2 linked regions of the Ovis aries genome follow. The protein of the gene in region 2 purifies or fractionates together with the protein of the main gene of each other region. This does not show direct contact. Links are inferred from orthologs where the notes say so. Each region holds a gene or a part of one and is shown on either strand. Other genes may lie near its edges. The genes, in order: PFDN1 and VBP1.

Region 1 (3,915 bases), on a different chromosome or scaffold from region 2:
ACAGCAAACATCTCAAAGCCAGTCTGCTAAAAACTTGAGCCCTGAACAATTCAGTGATTAGAAGCACTGACCCTCTGTGCAGTTGAAAATCCAAGTATAATTTATAGTTGACTCTCCATATAGCAGTTCCTTTGTATCCCTGGTTCTACATTTGTTGATTCAACCAACTACATATCATGTAGTACTCTAGTATTTACTATTTTAAAAATCTGTGTACAACTGGATCCCTGACGTTTAAACCAATGCTGTTCAAGAGTCAACTGTACTGAACTTACCCAGTCCTCAGAAGATGCAACCTATCTGAAGAAGCTGAACAAAGGCACGGTAAATAACAACCATATCAAGTAGCAGGTACCCAAGGATTAATAAAAGCTCTAAAGGCAACAATCACAAACCCAGAGACCCAAATCAGGAACCATTAATGTAACAACTCACCACATCTGTACTACTCAAGATTATTTAAAGCACTTTCCCACACTTGTTTGAAATATTAACATGTGAATATTAATATGAGAATACTGACATATAATAAATGTCTCATTTTCTCTTTTCAATAATCCTGAGTTAAGGATGGCAGATTCATCAGCACAGTTTACAAATTAACTAAATGTTTTAAAGAGATATAAATGACTTTCACAGGGCTGAGCAACTACTAGGTCAAAAACCAAGTACTTAATTAACTTCTGACCGCTAGTTACTGAATCTTTCTACTCTACTATCCACAGTAATATTCAGAAAATGAATATTTTAAGAGAAAGACACACAAAAAAATTCAAAGCATTGATAAAAGAATTGCATCATGATCTTCATATGCACACGATAAGCCAAACTTGACCTCTGAGTACTGTTAAAAGGTTTTTGATACTTCTGAAGTGCCTAGAATGATTTTCACATGCTGTCAAATTCTGACTTAATAATAACATCTGTGGCTGCAATACATGGCAAAAAGCTACTAACTTTTATTCTGACTTTGTTCTCACCTACTAGTAAGGTTTCAAAAGGTTTATCTAGAGGGGAGAGGAGGTACCTAAAGTTTCCTATTAGTCTCCATCCCTTCCCCTCCCCCCAAAATTATAAACATTAAAAGACCTTTAAACAAGTTTCTTCTGTAATTTTATTGGTTGACAAAACTACCCAATTTAAGTCTGTAATTATCTTCTTAGTTTGCATTCACTGTCCACAGGTTTCCCAGCAACAGACTGAAATAATACTGAGGGGTAAGTCCATTCATAGCTGTATTCTATTGTTAGCTCTCACTAAACCCTAACTTAAATTTGAACTTTTAACGGAAAAAAAAGGTAAACTTTTAAAACACTTTAAGACACAGTTTGGTAAGGAAGCTAGTATTTTGTTAAAGCTGAGATAATACAGCACTAGACAGCACCATAAGGAGTAAAGGTACAAGTTCCAAACAAAAGGCAATACACACACACAAATCCTCAGAGCAATAATACACTGCTTCATCTATTACGTGGAAGAGCTACTTCAACTGTCTTATTTCTCATGCAAAGATAGATTACAAGACAGTCTTAAACAAAATTTGCTCTTCTAACCTCAAGTAGTGGTCAAAAGGTGGAAAGTGAGGCAGAGAATGCAATATTCTAGAACCAAGCTTGGGCTGACTCTTCTGTTAAACTGTTTCCTTTTCTAGAAAAGTATCAGTTTAAAGTAGATGAAGTCTAGGCTCCTTTCCAATCCCCATTCTCCTTCTCTTCGCAAAAAAAAAAAAAAAAAAAAGGATACGCTTTTGAGTCGGTAGTGGTGTTAGAATCCTGACAACTCTCAGGTGGTGAAAACATTTCTGTGTAACAACACATTTCTAGGCAATTGTTTGAAGAGAGAAACTCAATTCCTTCTGATACCAATTTGATCTGGAAACCTTTGACTTGTTTCTTCTTTGACAAATCTTTAAAAACGAGGGTGGGGAGGGGGCGGTTGTTGGCAAAGCCCTAAGATGAACATTGCTACGAGGATACCTGACTGAACTGTATGAAGCGACCTTACAAGATATGGGATTAAAGAACTGACCTAAAAACAGACTGGACTTGGAGTTTTTCAAAGCAAATTAGTATACAGAATTACAGATGCTACAGCTCGGGCAAGCAGGCTAAGAGGCTCCAACTGGAAGCGCTCATTTCAGGCCTCACTATGGAACTGAAGGCACCAAGAGCAACGAAAGGTCTCTGGAGCTCGGAACAAGGGAACAAAACAGCTATAGGCCCGCCAAACTTAACCAGGCCCAGCCCAACCGGCTCTTACCCGGCAAAGAGCCGCTCGCCCTCGACTCCCGCCTAAGGAGGCCCGGTCCCGCCTTTGCACTCTGAGAAACCACTCCCCATTTCCCTGGGGCCTCTTTCCTTCCGCAGCACTCGAGACTCACTCGACATTATTGTCCACAGTCGCCTTAGCTTCCAAAGAAAAGCTTCTGCCTGCTCAAGACCCTCTTTTACCTTCTTCAACTCCAGATCCACGGGGGCCGCCATCTTGCTTCACTACTGCGCCTGCGCAGTGGGAGAAGCCCGGAAAGAGCGTGGGGGAAGGGCGCGCCCTGAAGATTTGATAGGGCCTCTTCCTTCTGCGCCTGCGCATGAGTGGGGCTGCTTGGTTTTCCTACCTTCCCCGTCGTTATTAACGCCTGAAATAACCGGGATTCCGATTCAGAGTACGTCTTCCCCACGTGACCTATGGGCCTGCCGTGATTCTCCACATCCTTCCAAACACGGCACAATCTGCAGATTTCGTGTGTGTGTTTTTTTAATATAAATTTATTTATTTTAATTGGAGACTAATTACAATATTGTATTGGTTTTGCCATACATCAACATGAATCCGCCACGGGTGTACACGTGTTCCCCATCCTGAACCCCCCTCCCGCCTCCGTCCCCTCGTGTGTGGTTTTAACCACTTCGACAAATAGTTTAGTTTGTGTCGCTAAATTAAGATGTATGTAGATCAAGCTAAAACCTTTAAAGTCATTCATGCCTTCAGCGAGTCCTGTGCTGTCAGGGAGGGATGAGAAAGAATCAGCCTGAGTTTCAGACATGGCAGCATGGAGAAGACCAGAAGGCTTCAGTTCAGTTCAGTCGCTCAGCCGTGTCCAGAAGGCTTAGTTGAAGCGTTTTCCCAAAGAACTTATTTATACTGAATGTTCTCAGAAGACCTTGTAGACACAGGAGTTCTCACGAGAAACCAAATTTCTTTTTAAAAGAAAAAAAAAATGCAGATTCTCTGATCCTCATCCCAAACTTACTTAGAATCTTTGATATGGGGCACAGAAATACATACTTTTGCAAACTCCTTTTATGATCTGATCTAAGTGGACTGCAAACCACATTTTGAAAATCTGCTGTAAAATAGCTGGCATTTGAACCAGAAGGATGACTAGAAGGATGGACATGAAAGAAATGGATATCTTCCTTACTCTAAAAACCTGTGAGGCAGGGGAAAGGGCAGGGAGTTTGGAACTAAACAAATCTGTATTCAAGGTTTGGTCTACACTGAGCGTAGGTATGTCTGCTTCCATTTACTAGTTGTGTATCAACAGAGTCTGTCTCCTCATTTAATATGAGAATAACAGTACTGACCTAACAGAGTTATTCTGAGGAGTAAACAAGATCAGGATGGAAAGCTCCAAGCATAGCACAATGCACACAGTAGGCACACAATAAAAAGGTATAATTAAGTTCATGTAGTTAGCATTGTTATATTTGTCTTTCAAGATACAGCAAGCAGCAGACACATAATATGTATCCATTATGTATTTTTTTTATTTTTTACATCACACAGACCATAAATAATCTCTCCTTGGAATTTCAAGACTACTTCTGTTCCTTTTTCAAGACACATGACACTATCTGTCTTAAAAATTTTTTTTTATTAGACTTATTAGCTGTTCAAATGTCCATCATTCGACAA
Region 2 (3,915 bases):
ATAGGAAAAGAAATGTTTCTGGCACATGTTATTAGAAGCTTAGACACGAGCAAGGAGAAGGAACTACAGCAGCAAAAGTCTGTGGTTAAGACCCAGGAGCTGCATGGCTTGAATGCTGGCTGCATCACGTACTAGCTGTGTGGACCGTGAGGCAGTTGTTTAATTCTTGTCTTGGCCTCAATTTCCTCATCTGTAAAAGAAAAAAGTGCCTCTTCCCTACAGGGGATTAAATGAGTTACCACATGTCAAAGACTCAGAAGAGGACACAGAAGCTAGTAAGTGTTCAACAAACATTAGATATGGCTAAGGGAACAGATGGAAGCACCAAGAATTCTACCCCAGGGTGGTGGTCAGAAAAAACTACAGAGATCATATCTGAACTAGATGTTGAGAGATGGTGCAGCCAAACAATGGACAAGGGGGGAAAAGATCAATTAAAGCAGAGAAAGAAAAAAATTACTGTACCAACTGGAATGGGGAAAAGGCAATCTGACTTCTAACCACTATGGTACATTGCCTTATTACCGAAATGAATATGTATTAAGTATCTACTTGCAATACTGAAAGCACATTCTCTGTTTCTCAGAAGAAATCTGTAAGTAATGTTATCCTTATTTCAGTTAAGAAACAGAGGGGCTCAAAGTTGTAAAACAATATGCTCAAGATAAGCAGCAACTGGGAAGCAGAGGCAGGATTCAAACTCTAGTCTCGAAACCAATGTTCTTTCTAAAATACCATGCTATTTCCCATTAGTTGGGGAACATTAAAATATTTATATAAATGTGGATTGTTTATATAATGTATTGATGGAAATTTTAAAGATCTAGAAAAAGCAACTCATAACATTTTAGAGAAAATGCATTTTAAGATAACACTTTATATAGCCCCTTGATAAACTTCATCTTCCTGAATTAGATTTCTGAAGCCATCATTTGTTAAGCACCATGAATGCAGGATTTTAAGGCATTATGGAAATTCAATCTGACATTTAGTTATGAGTTTATACTGTGTGTCAGGCACTGTGCTAGGATCGGGGGCAAGATAATGACCTCACTTTCCTCCCAGCAGCAGAGCATGGCATGGAAGTAGAGGTCTGGAGCCCACAGACTGACCAAGTTTAAAGCTTGGATAACTCACTCACACATTGTGTGACTTGGGGCAAATTACTCAAGGGCTCTGGGGCTCAGTCTGAACATGTACAAAATGAGAATAACAGTATTTGCCTCTTACTGAGTTGTGTAAAAGCATTAGAATGTGCCTGGTACTCAACAAATTTTGTCTCTTGTTGATGATTAAGTGGGAGATGAGTGGAAGGAAATACATGGCACACTTCAAGGACAAAAATAAAATAAAATAGGACAAAACTGAGTCAGCCAATGCAAATATTCATACAGTGCATATAAAAGTGGTCTAAATAAAAGACAAGGGTCTTCTGAACGGTGGACGATTTCATCAACAAAAAGCCAATCCAGGTTCGATGCATAAGACAGGGTGCTCAGGGCTGGTGCACTGGGACGACCCTGAGAGATGGGATGGGGAGGGAGGTGGGAGGGTGATTCACGATGGGAAACATATGTACACCACTGGCTGATTCATGTCAATGTATGGCAAAAACCAGTACAATATTGTAAAGTAATTAGCCTCCAATTAAAATAAATAAATTCTTTTTAAAGGCAGAGATTAAGACAATATCGGGACAAAGCAAAAGGTGGAGAAATTTCCATTAAGGTTTCATAGTAGTTCAGCCAGAACTGAGTGGAGAAAGATGGGTGATACTGGCCTGGAACACCCATCAGGTTTTCTCAACACTCAACTAGTTCTCAAACACTATTTCGAGTACAGCCTTATGGAGAGACAGGATTGAAAGCCTCTACGTGCTTCTCTGTTTGGCCTTGGTTTAGTCTCCCCGTTCAATGAACCCTCCAATACTGCACTGCCGGCTTCCTCTGTGAACTGCACCCTATGGACTCTCTACGTTGTTAGAACCGTGTACCTCAAAGTGATTACAAGTGGCTTCACTAGAAGGAAATGGCAACCCACTCCAGTATTCCTGCCTGGAAAATCCCATGGACTGAGGAGCCTGGTAGGCTACAGTCCATGGGGTCACAGAGTTGGACACGACTCTGCAATTTCACTGTCTAATGAGCGCCCGCAGCCAGCGGGCTAAGGCCTCCATGGCCTAGCGGGTTTCACATGGCCTTCGAGAGCTTTCCCGGCCGACGCCCCCATCATGGGGTCTTCTTCGGAAGCCACAGGCCGCCGCAGCCCTTCTACACCCGAGATGTCATTTCCGAGCTTCACACCTGAGCCCCAGCTCCGTTACCCCGTCCCCCTCGGTCTCCCCAGAATCCAGGCTGAGGGTCCAGCTTCTCACCGCCTCCCGTCTTCTCGGAAGCGGGGTCGGAACCGCAGGCCACGGAGGGCGGGGGAAGGCGGTCCCTCAAAGCGGCCCGCCTCCGCCCCCAAGTCCTCCGGCCCCGCGCCCGCTTAGCGCCTGTGACCTGCTCGGACGGCAGGCCCCCTCCCAGGCAGGTCCCGCCCCAGTTTAGTCCGTCCAGGCCGGAGCGCCCCCTCCCAGGTAATTGGGCCCAACGCCTCTCTCCCCAACAACCAAGTCCCCGGTGAGGGGCCAGGAAGAAAGGGTACAACAGCGTAGCATCAAACACCCGCTGGCCACTCACCACAAAAACCGCTTCAGGAATCCCCAGGTGGAGTCGCCTCCCGTTCCCCGCAGCCACTTCTCCTACACCACAACCGTCCTTAGAGGCCGCCATTTTGGAGAAGCGAGCGCGCGACTAACGTGCCTCGCGAGCGGCCTGTAGCCGGGGGCCTGTGATTGGCTCGGGTCACAGTCGCGGGCCCGCCCCCCCGCCTGGGAGTCTGTGCGTTCGTTGGCTTACAGGAAATACCCCCCGCCCCGTCCCCCGCTCGGCAGAGTCGCTCGATCTGTGGGCTCTAATTGGCTGCGCGGGTGAGTGACAGGAGTGGAAGGGCCGCGGAGGCGAGGCTGGCTCTGCGGGAAGGACCAATACCGAGTCCTGGGAAAAGGGATTCCGGGGGTTTTGTGGGTGGGGCGGCGGGCTGGAGGATGCGGACAATCCCGGAAGAAGCCGGAATAGACTCCACTGCCAGCCCGGAACAGGCCTCTCCAGAAGAACCATCGGAGCTACCCGATCCCTTCTCGAATTCAAGCAGACTCGAGACCTAGACGCCACCACGGGACTTGGGCCTCGGTGACATTCTGGGCCCACGATCCTCGCGAGCTTTTTGGCTCCTGAAGGGTGCTTGTTTTGAGCCTGCTTCCGAGGGGACCTAGTGGCCTGATTCTAATAAATACCCCGCCCGTTGCATCACAATTTACCGAAAGCACCTCTGATCAGACTCTCACCACCAGCTCAAACGTTTTCAAAACTTCACACTGTCCATATTAATACAAAATCCTAAGAACTTTCCCGATGTTTCTAGACCCAAGGAATCCCCAAGCTCATTCACCACTACCCCCCTGTTTTCTGACATCGGAGCACCATGTTGGTTCCTGCCTCGGGCTTCCCTGGTGGCTCAGTGGGTAAAGAATCCACCTGCCAATGCAGGAGATGCAGGAAACACAGGTTCAATCCCTGGGTCAGGAAGATCCCCTGGGGAAGGAAAGGACAACCCACTCCAGTATGCTTGCCTGGGAAATCCCATGGACAGAGGAGCCTGGTGGGCTACAGTCCATGGGGTCACAGAGTCAGACGTGACTTAGTGACCAAACCACAACTAAGAAACACGGACGTCTCTATCTTGCCTGCACAGGGTAGGAAAGGAGCACAGGTGAAGACACTACCTGAGTTATTTAAAAATTAAAATGCAATGGGTACCAACAAGGCTGTCGTAAAGATTAAATGAGATTATGTATATAGACTACCTGGGTTT

What was found.
Region 1: the proteins of VBP1 (region 2) and PFDN1 purify together in Homo sapiens (affinity purification with mass spectrometry; 4 studies listed by BioGRID and IntAct, counting the BioPlex papers as one, with this or other methods). This does not show direct contact. The link is inferred for Ovis aries from reciprocal best matches to the Homo sapiens genes VBP1 and PFDN1.

The regions. Positions count from the first base shown.
Region 1 is NC_056058.1:49,170,599-49,174,513, forward strand, and holds the start of PFDN1 (prefoldin subunit 1), read right to left. Parts: upstream 2,500-3,915; 5' UTR 2,484-2,499; coding exon 2,451-2,483; intron 1-2,450. UniProt on the Homo sapiens protein: Binds specifically to cytosolic chaperonin (c-CPN) and transfers target proteins to it. Binds to nascent polypeptide chain and promotes folding in an environment in which there are many competing pathways for nonnative proteins.
Region 2 is NC_056080.1:81,701,878-81,705,792, reverse strand, and holds the start of VBP1 (prefoldin subunit 3), read right to left. Parts: upstream 2,798-3,915; 5' UTR 2,775-2,797; coding exon 2,682-2,774; intron 1-2,681. UniProt on the Homo sapiens protein: Binds specifically to cytosolic chaperonin (c-CPN) and transfers target proteins to it. Binds to nascent polypeptide chain and promotes folding in an environment in which there are many competing pathways for nonnative proteins.